Linked DNA regions of Macaca mulatta. The protein of the gene in region 2 purifies or fractionates together with the protein of the main gene of each other region. This does not show direct contact. Links are inferred from orthologs where the notes say so. Each region holds a gene or a part of one and is shown on either strand. Other genes may lie near its edges.

What was found.
Region 1: the proteins of STK35 (region 2) and C1H1orf174 purify together in Homo sapiens (affinity purification with mass spectrometry; 3 studies listed by BioGRID and IntAct, counting the BioPlex papers as one, with this or other methods). This does not show direct contact. The link is inferred for Macaca mulatta from reciprocal best matches to the Homo sapiens genes STK35 and C1orf174.

The regions. Positions count from the first base shown.
Region 1 is NC_133406.1:236,858,849-236,863,142, reverse strand, and holds the start of C1H1orf174 (UPF0688 protein C1orf174 homolog), read right to left. Parts: upstream 3,009-4,294; 5' UTR 2,922-3,008; coding exon 2,907-2,921; intron 1-2,906.
Region 2 is NC_133415.1:81,970,112-81,973,826, forward strand, and holds part of STK35 (serine/threonine-protein kinase 35), read right to left. Parts: intron 1,319-3,715; coding exon 606-1,318; 3' UTR 569-605; intron 1-568.

The DNA.
Region 1 (4,294 bases), on a different chromosome or scaffold from region 2:
GGAGTCTCGCTCTGTCACCCAGGCTGGAGTGCAGTGGTGTAATCTTGGCTCACTTCAAGTTCCGCCTCCTGGGTTCACGCCATTCTCCTGCCTCAGCCTCCTGAGTAGCTGGGACTACAGGTGTATACCACCACGCCTGGATACTTTTTTGTATTTTTAGTAGAGACGGGGTTTCACCACGTTAGCCAGGATGGTCTTGATCTCCTGACCTTGTGATCTGCCTGCCTCGGCCTCCCAAAGTGCTGGGATTACAGGTGTGAGCCACCGTACCTGACCCCATATCCAGGAATCTTAATGAACTGAACTCCAAATAGGATACATGCAAAGAGATCCACAGACACATCACTGTAAAAATACAAAGATCAAAGGTAAAATCTTGAAAGCCACAAGAGAACAAAATCTTGAAAGCCACAAGAAGAAAGCCACTTAGAAGGGAACCTCAATAAATGAACCACTGACTGAAACAATGGAGAATATTCAAACATATTCAAAGTACTCAAACAAACCTGTTAACCAAGAATCCTATATCCAGCAAAGCTATACTTAAAAAATGGGCTGGGCATGGTGGCTTATGCCTGTAATCCCAGCACTTTGGGAGGCTGAGGTGGTGGATCACCTGAGGTCAGGAGTTTTAGACCAGCCTGGTCAACATGGTGAAACCCCATCTCCAGTAAAAATACAAAAATTAGCCAGGTGTAGGGGCGGGCTCCTGTAATCCCAGCAGTTCCAGAGGCTGAGGTGAGAATCACTTGAACCTGGGAGGTGGAGGCTGCAGTTGGCTGAGATCACATCTCTGCACTCCAGCCTGGGCAACAGAGCGAGACTCTGGTCTCAAAACAAAAAAACAAAATAAAAACTCACTTTACAAGAAATACTAAAAGAAGTTCGTCAGGCTGAAAGCAAGTGACCCCAGACAGTAATTCAAACCCACACACGCCCACACAAACAGCACCAGTAAAGGTAATTATGTTCTTTTTTTTTTTTTTTTTTTTTTTTTTTGAGACGGAGTCTCACGCTGTTGCCCAGGCTGGAGTGCAGTGGCGCGATCTTGGCTCACTGCAAGCTCTGCCTCCCGGGTTCCCGCCATTCTCCTGCCTCAGTCTCCTGAGTAGCTGGGACTACAGGCGCCCGCCACCGCGCCCGGCTAATTTTTTGTATTTTTAGTAGAGATGGGGTTTCACTGTGGTCTCGATCTCCTGACCTTGTGATCCGCCCGCCTCGGCCTCCCAAAGTGCTGGGATTACAGGCTTGAGCCACCGCGCCCGGCCTATGTTCTTATAAAGATAGTTTGATTGCCTATTTTTCTACCTCCTTCTCATAATTTTAAAAAGCAATTGTATACAATAACATGTATGTAATATATACAGACGTGTACTATATTTGCCAATAACAAAACAAAGAAAGTGGGTGAAGGCAAAGCCCTACTGGTTGAGGAAATGACCACAGACAGAAAGTAATAATGATCACACTGTATTGTTGAGTTTGTAACATTATCAGATGTAATACATATAACAAAATACCACAAAAATAACCTATAACGGTAACTTTTCCTTATCACTTGGAATTAACCTAGTACAAATCTGAAGCTTAAGATGTATATGGAGAGTATGAAGATTAAGATGTATACGGTAAAACACAGAGCAAGCACTGGAAAAAACTCAAGAAATGTAGTAAAAAAATCACTAAATTAAAATGCTACATTAGAAAATATTCACTTTAATCCACTTAAAGAAGGAATAGGGGAAGAAAAAGACAGACTTGTATAAAGTAAAGAAAAAGTAAAATAGCATATGTAAACCTAACTACAGTATATCAATAATATTAAATGTGCACGGGCTAAACAATTCAATCAAAAGGCAGAAACTACCAGACTGGGTTTTAAAAAAGATCCAAATGTATGCTGCCTAGTTTTGGTTCAAAGATTAAAAATAGTAAAAGGAGTTGGAATTCACAAGTGGTCACTCCATTTGAACAAACCAGGAGAAAGCCTCCAAGCAGCTCAGAACCTCCCAGGTGGACCTGGACCCGCGCCAAGTGCACTGTGAAAAGGGTCTTTCACCTTTAACTGTTACACCCACGCGGTAAGCACTTGCCCCTTGCCAGACACTGGCACCCCCCTTCAATCCTCACCACCCTCTGGGTGGATCCCACATCACCCCACTTTTAGCACATTAAGTACATGGGGCCAACCGAGTGGCAGCAGTTGAGGGGCACAAACTCAGCTCCGCAGCATCCAGCACTACCAGGAGTTGAAACCAGTTCTGGAGAGGGCACCCCACCTTCCTGGGAAAGTGGCCTGAAATCTCCCTTCAAGGGGGCGTGGCCTGGGAGGCCCCCTTCTCCCCGGGACGTGACCTGTGAGCTCCACTTCTCCCGAGGGCGTGGACCGGAGCCCCCTTCTCCCGGCAGCGTGGCCTGGGAGCTCCCCTTCTCCTGGGGGCATGGCCCGGAGCCCCCCTTCTGCGGGGGGCGATAACCTGGGAGGCCCCTTTTCCCGGGGACGTGACCTCTGAGCTCCATTTCTCCCTAAGGCGTGGCCCGGGGTCCCCATTCTCCCCGGTGCGTGGCCTGGGAGCTCCCCTTCTCCTGGGGGTGTGGCCTGGGAGCGCCCCTTCTCGCGGGGGCGTGGCCCGGATTCCCCCTTTCCCAGGGGCGTGACCTGGGAGCCCTCCTTCTCCCGGGACCCTGCCCTGGAGCCCCTCCCTTCTCCCAGGGGCGTGGTCTGGGAGCGCCCCTTCTCCCGGGAGCGTGGCCTGGAGCCCCCCGCTTCTCCCGGGGGCGAGGCCCAAGCGGAGGCCGTTTCTAGGTCACAGGCACCCCGTGACCCCGCCCCGGCTCTCCAGACAGCAGGTGGCCCGGAGTCCCCGCCCTGTCCAGCGCAGCTGTTGCCGAGCACCAGCCCTCACCTTTCGGCTCCTCATGAGTGTGAGCGCCGCAGCCAAGAACCGCGCGCCCCGGACCAACGCGTCCCGGCGGAGCGGCGACCCGGAGTCTGCAGAGCGCGCCGCGGCGGCGTCCGACGTCAGCAGAGCCAATCACAGCGCAGCGCCCTCGTCATGTGACCCCACAGTGTTGGCCTTTACGTAAGTGACGGGCGCAGCTCGCGGGCTACGGGCCAGTGCTGGGACACTGGAGCAGTAAGTCGTCCTGTGGCAGGCCATGTTCGTGAGGGCGCGTCCCTTGGCAACCCTGTAGCCGCTATGTTTCCCACGCCCATGGCAGGCCTGGGAGGTTATGTTTGCGGGGGGTGCTTTTTTTGTAGCTTCTGTGTTTGCCATATTTGAAAGGGGCGGACGACCATGTTCGTGAACGGCGCTTCCCTTGGTGCACCTGTGGCCGCCATGTTTTGAGAGGGGTGGGCCACAATGTTCTTTAGGGGCACTTGCGTTGAAGCTTCTTTGGCCATCATGTTTGAGAGGGGCGGACGGCCATGTTTGTAAGGGGCGCTTCTCTTGGTGGGCCTATGGCCGCTATGTTTGAGAGGGGCAGGCAACTATGTTCGTGAGGGTTGCTTCCCTTGAAGCCTCTGTGGCCGCCATGTTTGAGAGCGGCGGACGGCCATGTTTGTGAGGGGCTCTTCCCTGGTGCGCCTGTGGCCGCCATGTTTGAGAGGGGCGGGCGGGGCGTCCGTGAGGGGCGCCTCCCCTGGCAGTCCCTGGCCAAGAGCCTGTAGGAGGGCGGGAAGTGCTTTCTCCAGTGCCGCAGAGCGCTGGTTTCTGAGCGCCGGTTAGCGGCGTTGAGCAGCGCGAGGGACCCCTAGGCCTGCCCTTGCTACGGTCCCGCTGAGGAAGTTTGCGCGCTTGTCGCAGGCTGGGCTGCCCTGCGAGGTGCCGCTTTGGGTTGGGGTGGCCTCTGCTGTCCCCCACGTCGCGGGCGGGATCGGGCCTCAGTGGAGGCCGTCCGTGGGCCCAGGAGGCCAGGGTCCGGCGTCAGGCTGGGGGTCAGGTTCTCACCCCCTGTCACGTGCAAGGCGGGAACTGACCCCTCCGCTGTCCGATTACTCTCCGGGGCAAAAGTGGATTCGCAGCGGCTACGCCTCCTCTGGTGGCCACGCCCCTAGCGCGCTTGGGTGGACCCGCAGCGGCCACGCCTCCTCCAATGGCCACGCCCTATCAGGTCTGGGTGGACACACAGCGGCCACGCCTCTTCCAATGGCCACGCCCTATCAGGTCTGGGTGGACCCGCAGCGGCCACGCCTCCTCCAGTGACCACGCCCTATCAGGTCTGGGTGGACACACAGCGGCCACGCCTCCAGCAGACACTGCCTTAGCAGGCCTGAGCTGCTGTGATGCGT
Region 2 (3,715 bases):
GTTTCTTAAAAAAGGGAGATTCAGCTTAAACGCAACCTCCTCTCAGAAGACTTCTCTAGACTTTTCAACTTGTACTCAGATAATTGCACATTTCTCCCATCAAGACATGGGGGGGAATCTTTGATAAGAAGCACTTAGTTTTCTTCAACTTTGTAGTCCCCCCCAACTTCACAGGGCCCATCCTAGGGTCCAGAATGAAGAACCCAGTACAAGAAGCGGGCACACAGGAAAAAAAGGGAGGCTGGGCAAGGTGGCTCACGCCTGTAATCCCAGCACTTTGGGAGGCTGAGACTGGCAGATCGCTTGAGGTCAAAAGTTCGAGACCAGCCTGGTCAACATGGTGAAACTCCTTCTCTATTAAAAATACAAAAATTAGCTGGGCATGATGGCAGATGCCTGTAATCTCAGCTACCCGGGTGGCTGAGGCACGAGATTCACTTGAACTCGGGAGGTAGAGGTTGCAGTGAGCCGAGATCCTGCCACTGCACCCACTGCGCTCCAGTCTGATAGACAGAGTGAGACCCTGTTTCAAAACAAAAACAAAAAAACAACAACAGAAAGCACTCACCTAGTTTAAAATCACCCAAAATGCTTAGCCCTGAATTTTAAGCAGCACATGTGACCTGGTCCATTCTGGTTTCAAGTTCAAAGGCATCAGGCCGGTCCTGTGGGTTAGCAGCTAACATATCTTTCAAGAGCTGCTTGATCCCCTCAGACATGGAAGTCCTGCGTTTTTGGGGGATGTGCAACTCCATCTTTGGGTTTTCTAGCAGCGCCTCACCAACAGGGACGATCTCAGTCCCCTGTTTAATGTAGGTCCCCAGGAGCTCCTTCTTGGTCTCAGAGTCAATAAAAGTGATTCTTTCTATCATTGCCCAGATGATAATGCCCAGGGCAAAGATGTCCGCCTTGGCTGTGTAGTGTCCCTCCCAGACTTCAGGAGCCATGTAGAAGTCCGAGCCGCAGGCTGAGGACAGCCAGTACTTATTCACATTCACATTTTTGTTGTCTTGATTGCCCTCTTTGCCTCGGGGTGCCAGCCCAGCACAGACCTTGCTTAGTCCAAAGTCGGCCACTTTGAGGATGGGGGTGCCAGACCGCTCTGTGATGAGGATGTTGTCTGGCTTCAGGTCCCTGTGCACAATATGGTTTTTGTGCAGGAAGGCAATGGCGCTCGTGAGCTGTAGCATGAAACTTTTGTTGGTGGCTGGGTCCGGCCTCCGGGACAGGACATACTGATTCAGGTCTCCACCTTCACAGAACTCCATGACAAACCAGAGATAGCAGGGCTCCTCAGCATAACCCAGGATCCTTTCTCCTAAATCAAAGAAGACAGGAAGGCGCTTGAGTGAGATGAACATAGTCACACTTCTTTTGAACTAAAGGACGCAGTGTATTCAAGAGTGACATTGGTGACAAACAACTGCTCCAAGGGGACCCGCAAAACTGGCACTGAGTCCCTTTCTACTCACACAGAACAAATCAAGGTATGACATGGGCACCAGGGACTGGTGTCAGGCACCTGGGTTTGGAATGAGGCCCAGGTGGAAACTCAGGTTTTACTGCTGTCTGGCGGACCGCAAAGCCTTTTTGTTTCATTATACTGTCTCCAAACAGGCACTGCCATACCACCCACACCTCCCAAGGCTGCTGGGCAGATGGGACAAGGAAAAGCATGCAAGAAGGCTGTCACGAGTCTGTTGCTTCTAATATCATTGTTACTCCATGCTGAGCAAATGACCTTCCCTCTTTTTTTTCCTGACTTACAGAAGGATTCTTGTTAATGTACCTAGAATGGCACTACCATTTCCTTTATTTCAGAGGCACGCTCCTACAATTTCCTTGGTTTACTTCAGAGGCACACTCCGATCCATCAATATTTTCTGCGAGCCCATCATATGCCTAGCGCAAGTTAGCTACATAACATGCCCTGTCTCTATGAGGCTTAGTTTCAAGGAGATGACAGGTATACACAGCAGCAACCATCAAAAGCTGTACATCTCCATCAGGGTCAACACCTACAAACAGTGAAGTGGGGGCAGGAGCCGCCAGATCTAAAGGTGTCAGAGGGGGCAGGACTGAACTTACCCTGTAAAAAGGCAGGCAGTAGATCAGTGGGGGAGCAGGAAGGTAATTCTAGGCTGAAAGATGGAATGGATGATGGAACACAGGGACAAAAAGACCAGAAAGGTGTAAATAGGAAGACTGGTGGGAACAGCAGAGTCTAAAGTCGATGTATAAGATAAGATTTAAATTGTGTGGGCTTGAAACTCTAGGAAAGCTGGTAACCAACCTCTCCAAGCAAATCTCAATATTCTTTATAAAGCAATTGACAGTCCAGTGAATCTTTATGTGGATGTTGTTTGATGACTACAACTGCTCCCGAAGCTAAGTCTAAGAAGGCAGATGTTTTATCTCACTGATGAGGAGAGGCTGGGCCTGCAAATGTGCTGCCTTGCTCTGGGTGGTCACAAGGTCGTTTGTAACTGAGCCAGGACCTGAAGAGAAACCCTCTCTCTGGCCCCAGTATGGAGCATCCATCCTACCAAAAATGACTGCACCTCCTCAGATAGCTGCTGGCAGAGGGTTCCTTTTACTGGTTATTTACTCTATTATAATGAAAAGCAGTGATCTGGGTGAGACTCTGCTAACCCAAACAGCCCTGAAATTACCAAGGCACACAGTCTACTAAAGCCAGTGGTCTGAGTTCTGGGTTGGACCAAGACGATGTGACGTAAAAAACAAAAGCTTGGGCCCGGCGCGGTGGCTCAAGCCTGTAATCCCAGCACTTTGGGAGGCCGAGACACGTGGATCACGAGGTCAGGAGATCGAGACCATCCTGGCTAACACGGTGAAACCTCGTCTCTACTAAAAAATACAAAAAAAAAACTAGCCGGGCGAGGTGGCGGGCACCTGTAGTCCCAGCTACTCGGGAGGCTGAGGCAGGAGAATGGCGTAAACCCGGGAGGTGGAGCTTGCAGTGAGCTGAGATCCGGCCACTGTACTCCATCCTGGGCGACAGAGTGAGACTCTGTCTCAAAAAAAAAAAAAAAAAAAAAAAAGCAAAAGCTTTAGGTTTTCTATCACAATCGGATAGACCTCACTTCCCTTGTAATTATATAATTTATTTGCTTATATTACTCACAATCAAAGTAACACAGGTAGAACCAGTTTAGGGCAGATGTTTTTTGTTCTTTTCAAATCAGTTATTTCCCCTCTCATAATCCTCTATCTAGGTCATGGGCAGAGGCCCTCTATGTAAAAATACTGCACAATGAAGCATCAATCTGAAGCGCAAGTCAAGCTAGATGCTAACGACCCACAAAAAGGAGAGCAAGAAATGTGTACTAGAGGTAGAACCAGAAAGGAAAAGATTAAAAAGCCATCCAGTTCCCTTTGCAAAGGTCACATCAGAAAACACTGAAACTTCTGGTGGGAGAATAAAGAGGAATGATGATTATTTTATATACAAAGTTAGTAACTATGGCAACCTAAGGAAAAAGAAAACAAGTCTGCAAAACAGACTATAATCTAAGTCCAGGTTATGAGAATCCAGGGAAAGAAAAAACGGTAAAAAAAAAAAAAAAGACCCCAAAGTTTGTGAGTGGTTGGGGGAGATTGGACCCTCGGACTGAGGAGCTGTTCTGAGGAAGGAGCTAGACTCAGGAGATGCTACAGGAGGGGCTGTTTGTTGAGAGGAAAATTCTGGACAGGA